Rhinolophus ferrumequinum: one gene and its partner. The protein of the gene in region 2 purifies or fractionates together with the protein of the main gene of each other region. This does not show direct contact. Links are inferred from orthologs where the notes say so. Each region holds a gene or a part of one and is shown on either strand. Other genes may lie near its edges.

Region 1 (3,748 bases), on a different chromosome or scaffold from region 2:
TTTCGGGGAAACACGGTAAGTGTTTAGATTTATGAAAGTCAGAAGTACAATGGCCTAAGTCAGACAGTCACAGTTTTTTCATGTTTTCTCTATCTTTACTTAAGAAATGGTTCTTGACCATCTATCATGTTAAAGGAATTACGCTAGATGATTAGAGTACAAATAGGAACAGGACATGGTCCCTGACTTTTCTCTATAAAATCAGCAGAAGTGCATTCACATGGAGGCCCTTTTTTCTTAAATAAGGAGTCTATTTCATGGCTGTTCCATAGTGATGATGCCTCTGCTCCCCTTTTAGACCCCAACTGAGAGACAAATCAGCCACTGTACCCTCTCTTGAGCCTAGAATAGGCTGCTCCACCCTTTCCCAGACACCAGAAGGGCAAGACAGGCAAGGTCAGGGGGAAGTATGGGGATTCAACCTTCAGCTCCTCTGCACCCAAATATCCATCCCTCCTGCCCATTGTCCTTCCTGCCCAGTGGATGCTATTCGGGAAGAAAACAGGTCAAATGAAGGGAAAACTCACAGTGACTTACTATACTCACCAAAATTTAAAACCAAGCCGGGCATTTAAAACAGGCCAGTGCATTAAAACAATTTTGCTAAAACGTCAAGATACTGTTTTTTCTATTACCAAATAATATATGTAAACATCCATGAGCCCCACTGCATTTCAGAGCTTTATCCCTAATGATGGGGTGGAGTGAAGCACATAGAGGTGAGGAGAGGCTCAGGGAGGGGTGAGGCTTAGGGACTGGGTCAAGTTCTTTGCACACATTACTTGGTGATAAAAAAGCTGAGCATTTATTGGTTACTTTTTTTAGGCTGCAACAAAATGCCCCCATGGAAAATGTCTGATGCAAAATGTCAAGTGTCTCGTTTTAAAGCAGAGGACAATGCTTAGTGCACAGTATTTTTGGCAGTATGATCCCCACTATTATCCAAGACACCCAGGCTTAAAACATTGGCACTAGCAAAGGAACTTTCACCATAGCCTTTGTGATAGTATGTATTATCCACAATTTCACCTTAGAGATGGAAAAAGGACCCTCCTCCACAGCATAATGTTCATATATCCTTTAATGTTTTCTTCATTTATGCATCAATACCACCTCTCATGAGAGTGCTAAACAACAGACGTACAAAAATGGGTAACATAATTCTGCCCTCAACAGTTTGACTTAACAAGCATTTACTGAGAGTTTACCACATATATTAACTGAAAAGCACTAGTGTGTGTGTGTGCGTGTGTGTGTGTGTATTTCAGGGAAAGTTTTCAGAAGATGCCAGTGTTAAGTCTTAAGGAACTAGCAGGTGTTTCCTTGATGAAGAAGGAGAGGTAGGGCATATATCCAGAGTATGTGAAGGAGGAGCTGGACAGATAGGCAGAAGTCAGAACATGATGGGCCTGTATACCAAACTATGGAGTTTGGACTTTATCACTGGAGGATTTTAAGAAGAGGACTGTCATGCAGATGATTTGCTGATGCAAGGCTCATCCAAGGGTGGACTGGAGACAGGAATGGAGGGAAATCAGAGCTTGAATACTGACAAACTAGTTAGGAAACTATTACTATAAGCTTGGTGAAAAATGATGAGAACATAAATTATCTCAGAGGCACAGAGGAGGGAAAGCTGAGGACCTATTTGAGAAATACTATATTCTATAAATAGACATGATAGGACTTGACTAGTAGACATACGGGGATGAAATCCAGAGTTTAAAAGTCTTTCCTGCTTTCTACTTCTAGTTTAGGCAATTATTTGGCTAGCGGTACTGTGCATAGGAAGCATACTGAATTTTTTTTTTTTTATAGGGAGGCTGGGGAATCTGAGACCCGTGGGACATTTAAGTGGGGAGGTGTATGAATCAGTTGGGTAACTGGGCCGTACACTTTTTAGACTCAAGAAATTTACAAGACTACTCCACATGCACGTGTACCTGACAACTCATTCTGAAACGAACAAGGCATACAGATATGAAAAAAGGACATTTTTCATGCTAAGAAAACCCGCTGAAAATGCAGAGATTGAAAGTTAGTAACAAAACATTATGCTACTAGCTGTCAAACTGACACTGCAGAGCAATGTATTTTCCCTAGTAAGCTAAATGCAGGGTTCGCTTGGTTTTCTCCTCACACCACTTAAAAATAGCGGTGTACCTGGTGTTTAGATCTAGGAATTCCTTTTCGCAGGTTTGAAGAGCAAGATCTGAGAAATGCGCCCTCCCGTGGAAGTAGAATGAGGGGGCTCTAGCACCCTCTTTACTACCAAACAAAGCCCTGTAAAGAAATGCAATTTACGGGGATCAGAAGGCCACAGCGCTCGGACTGCTAAACCAAAAAACCAAACCAACCCTGCCAAGGGTCAGGACCCCTTACCTGTCACGTCGGCCTAAGGACAATTTCAGTTTCGACTCAACAAAATTCGACTCTCCGGTACGATAGCTTGCAGTGCGTCCCGCTCCGCAACAACTGAACACGCTGCAAGCCAAAACACGTACACTGTCGGGATGCTCTCCAGCCCGCAGGGCCGGGCTTCGACCACGTGGGTGGCTGGGGCCAGCCCCAGCGACCTGCGAAGGGCGGGAGTAGGAGGCGTGTCCCTGCGGAGGGAGGCGGTCCCTGCGGAGGGAGGCGGTGCCTGCGGAGGGAGGCGGTGCCTGAGTAGTGGGCGGGGCTTGGGAGGACCCGTGCTCTCGGCCTTGTTTCGCCTACTTTACCCCTTTGCCTTCGCCCTTCGAGCCGCCACGTAATGCCACGTCCCCCGCACATGCGCATTTCGACTGCTGGTGGCCGCTGTTTCCGGGCTCAGGGGGCTGGAGCGGCCGCCGAGTAGGAGGCGGCGGTGGCGGTGCCCGGGGATCGTAGAGTGCTTGCTGGTCTGGGGCCAGGCCCTGCGGAGGACAGGGGAAGTTTTCTTTTCTGAAGTGGCTGGTAGAGCCGGTGGCTGAGCGGCAAGATGAATTTCCTTCGCGGGGTGATGGGGGGTCAGAGTGCCGGACCCCAGCACACAGAAGCCGAGACGGTGAGAGGAGCAGCGGATCTGGGACTTGGGAAGGGTCCGGGCAGGAACGGGGACGGAGGACTCGGGGTCCCGGAGGTCACCTCCCGCGCCCCACGGTGGGCCGGGGATCCACATGCCGCCTCCCCTTTTGCCTCCCTTCTCCTGAAACCCCCGAGTTATTCCCTTACGCCCCCAGCGCAGCCCCCCACCGCGGCGGCTCGGCCCTGCGGACAGCAGCCGCGGGAGGATGGTCGGTGGGTGGTACCGCCGGGAAGGGATCGATCCAGGGCAGAGGTGGCACGACCTATCTTACACGCCCCTCGAGGCCGCGGGCCTCTCCCTCCTTGCTTTTCGCCGGTGTCTCCACTGGCCGAGAGGAGCCTGAAGTCCTTGCTCCCTCTCTCGAGGTCTGGAATGGGGAATTGGGGAAGACTGGGTTTAAAACCCAGCTGTTAAAGAGAGCATGTGGCTAAGAATAAAAAGATAGTTTGGGGCAGAAAGCCACCTGCTCCTGTCCCATCAGCTGGAGGAAGGTCGTTCTACCAGGTGTTACTAGATCAGACCCCGTGTTTCGGACTCAAAATATATGCCATTTGGGAAATACCTGGACGTTGTAGGGATGTTTCGCGCTTAAACCGCTTTAGGGACACATTCCCCGCTCTCCCTTCCACTCACGCCGTTCAGAAGTCTGAACCCCTGATTTGGTAACACGATTTACAGCGTCACTTTAAAAAACTTGTT
Region 2 (3,748 bases):
ACTGTTGTTTAACTTTGCCATAAAGTTATTCTGCATTAAAAGTGGTTTTAACAGGTAGACCTCCACCAAAACAGGATTAGGGATCTGTATTTCTGATTGCTTTTCCATTATAGACATTAATAGCTCAAGAACGTTGCTTCTGCACACAAAGAAGTCAGGAAGTACTTTGGATATGACTTTGAGGGGGGTAAACACTGAATCAAGAGCTATAATAATTCGGCTGGTTTTTTGTTTGTTTGTTTTTTCTACTGTATAGTAACCATGTCAAAAGAGATGATGAGAAGCCCAACAAACAAAATGAGAACTGTGATTCTACTACAAGTAAATTTTGTGACAGATTAACAGTCTGGAAAAATCTGGTAAAATTATATGATGTTTCAGATTTGTTTCAAAACCCAGTTTGGGGGAGGCAGTACTACATGAAAGAAAAACTGACCCTAGCTATGAGTTAATATTTATCAAAGCTGAGTGACCAATACATGGGGATTCTCTATACTATTCGATTTTTGTATGTTTTCCATAATAAAAAGGTTTTTTTAATTAGGTTATCTACTACAGTATTAAAACATCATTTCCTTAACACTACAATTTTCCATATGGCAAAAGACATGCTTTGTCTTCTGTTGCTTGTTTAGTTGTTTGCTTACGTGTTTTTAAAGAGTCATCCAAAGATTTTAAACTAGAAACGATGGTAAGACTATGTGTCAGAAAATTCTAGGAAAATGTCAGTAACAGGGAGACCAGTTTGCATCACGAGTGTTATTGAGATGGTGGTAAATCAAAACAGTTAAAGTTCAGTGAGGAAATGTATTACCTAAAATAATCCAACGTACAGGAGGATCATTCAGTAGAGCAAAGACACTCCTTACTTTTCTGTAAATCTGAACCACCATGAGTTATATTTTCTTAATGAAGGGTACACCTACAGAACTAAGTACAGAATTAAAAGAAACTCTGCATCCTTAAATAAAGTTGCTGTTTTATAAATCCTACCTGTCACCAGGATGACCGAAACTGCTCGCTCTACAATCCAACTGTATTTGTAGTTTTTATTTCAACAAGCAGCAAAGTAGTTTACATTTGGTAAGCACACCGATTCTTGAAAACCCAAAAACAACCAAGAATCTGGTTTAACTCTCTTTCCACCACCCTCTAAACAATTAAAGCTACAAGCAGAAGGGAAGAGTGACCTTAAAAACGTCCCCACAGCCAGAGAACAGAGGCAGAACAGACTGAAGCACACATCTTCGCCGAGCAGAAGAAAACTTCCACATAAGCAATACTGCGACACGGAGGTGGGGCAAGGGCTTAAAAGGAAAGTCAGCCAACAGGGACGGAGGGAATAAAAGCACAGCTGCAGTGAAAAAAAAGTTAGAAGTTAGAGATGCAGGCAAGAAAGGACACACATTTTCCAGCTTCGTACACCCCCCTCCAGAGCCTGGCACACAGCAAGCGCTCCAGAAGGGTTTGCTGAACTCAAGGAAAGCTTCTGCCAGCAACTTTCCCAGAAATGGAATGACAACAAGAAGCCGGATGATGGCAGAAAAAAATGGACAGGTTGCTCACACGGAGAGAGCTGGTGAAAATCTTGCAGGTGGATCAGCGGAGGAGATGGAAAGAACAGCATCTATCTGTCACAGACTGCCTACTTACAGAGTGTCCCAATTAAACGTACACCCCTTTCAGATATTAACAACCCAAAACAATAAGCCGGCGCTGGCGGTAGGCACGCTGAACATTTCTGCCTCTACGGAAACTCAAACGGGGAGGTAGGTCAACCTATGTCCACTCTACCCACTAAGTTATACCTTAATATCACGCTAATAAATTATGCAGACGGTTTATTGGGACACGCTGTGGGTCTGGCACTCTGATAAGCGCTTTACACGCCCCAATTCACTGAACCTTAACAGCCTTAAGAGGCAGGGACAGCCTTAGCCCCTTTTTCCAACCAACACAACAAAGAGTTTAGGTGACTGGCCTACGGGGACGAAGCTGGATTTGTACCCGCGTTGAACACCTGGGTGGTGCGCTAACTACTATGCTACAGACCTGCTTGGGGGGATTTAGGTGCTCCGGGTCTCAAGGACTTGAAGCGGGGACCCTCCGCCTCCGCCCCGGGAATAACTTCGGCATCCCGGCGCGCCCGGAGGAATGAGGAAAGGCGGCGTGGCACCTGTTTCTGGCCCCAATAAGAGGTGGAAGGGCTGGGAGCGCCTGGGGTCCAGGCCGCGGGGCGCCCCGACGCGGGGGGCGCGGGAGGACCCGCCTCCTCCGGGAAGGCCCCGCGGGCGGAGCGGGAGGCCCGGGGAAGGAGGCCCGGCGCGCGGGCCCGCCGAGGCCTAGGCCCCACCCGCCGCCCACCTCCCCGCGGCCGCGGCGCCCGCGCGGGCGCCGCCAGGCCGGGCCTGGCCGCCTCACCTGGCTGTTCCCCGGCGCTCGTCCCCCGGCCGGCGGTCCTGGGCGGCGGCGGCGGCGACGGCGGTGTCGGCGGCGAGGAGGGGAAGGAGGAAGGAAGAAGGGAAGAGAAGGGACGGCAGGAGGGAAGAGACGGAGTGGCCGCGGAGAAGGCGGGCGCCGCCGGGCCGGGGATCAGAGGAAGCGGGGAGCCGAACCTGACACGGCCGCCGCGGGCGCAAACCCTGAAGAGCCGCTCCGGCGCCCGCAGCCCCGCAGGAAGTGACGGGGGAGGGGCCTCTGCCCGCCCCCAGCCCCCGCCCGCCTCCATGCCCGGCCCCACCCCCCGCCCGCGGCCCGGACCACAAGTCCCGGCGGGCGCCTGCGCTCGCAAGGCACGCCGGGAACTTAGTGGGCTGGGACCTGGTCTCTCTAGAGCCGCCTAGCCCGCCCTGGGCGCCGGGACCTGCTGGGAGTTGTAGTTCAGCTGGGAGGTGTGACCCGTCCGCGGGAAGCGGGACTGGGCCTCTCTTCTTTCCTCACTCCCCATTCGTTCTTCCGGTTTTCCTCTCCGTCCTTCTCCCGCCTCGGTTCCTCATTTTTCTCTTTCCCTCAATTCCTCCATCCGTAAATGTTTATTAAACGCTTGCTCTGTGCAAAGCCCTGCTCCAAGAGCTAAAAATATGGTGGTAAAGAGACAAAAATCCCTGCCCTCATAGAGCTCACGTTCTTAGGTAACACACACAAAAATAAAATAAGTAACTTTTAGAGTGACTTAAAAGGCAAGAAGTGCCAGATTGCTATTTCTTCCAGCTCTAGATAAATGAAGCGGGTTTTAGCAGCCATCTTATATGATCTTACCTGGCAAGATATACATACTATTTTTACCACTTGTTGTATCGTGGAAGAAAAGAACTGTATCTGGGCTTTAGCCCAGTGATATGCAGATGAGTTAGCAGCGCGCCAACCAGACCAACATTCGGTTGGGGCAGAGGCGGTCCCAAATCACCGTGCTGGTAATCATTTGGATTACCAGTTCCAAGCTCAAGACAGGCTTCAGAGAGATCATATGGTCACCTAATTGAGGGGATGAAAAAAGGTATAAATAAGCGTGTAAACTACAGAGTATTACTCAAGGCGGGAATGAGAATCTGGCCCTTTTTCAATCCTGCCTGGTGGATGCCCTCAGAAAATATACCAACCTAGATCCATGGAGCCACAATACTAGCCATGTATTTCATTGAACAATCAGCTCCAGACATCGGGAGAAAACTCCAGAAATTTTAATTAGGACCTCAGACCCCTTTCCCTCAGCTTCCTAGTCTATTGGACACGGTCTTTAACGTCTTTA

What was found.
Region 1: the proteins of STAU1 (region 2) and G3BP2 purify together in Homo sapiens (affinity purification with mass spectrometry; 3 studies listed by BioGRID and IntAct, with this or other methods). This does not show direct contact. The link is inferred for Rhinolophus ferrumequinum from reciprocal best matches to the Homo sapiens genes STAU1 and G3BP2.

Annotation. Positions count from the first base shown.
Region 1 is NC_046288.1:32,119,623-32,123,370, forward strand, and holds the start of G3BP2 (ras GTPase-activating protein-binding protein 2), read right to left. Parts: upstream 2,541-3,748; 5' UTR 2,383-2,540; intron 1-2,382. Other genes in the region: USO1 (general vesicular transport factor p115), read left to right, coding at 2,963-3,028.
Region 2 is NC_046306.1:10,055,086-10,058,833, reverse strand, and holds the start of STAU1 (double-stranded RNA-binding protein Staufen homolog 1), read right to left. Parts: upstream 2,557-3,748; 5' UTR 2,422-2,556; intron 1-2,421. UniProt on the Homo sapiens protein: Binds double-stranded RNA (regardless of the sequence) and tubulin.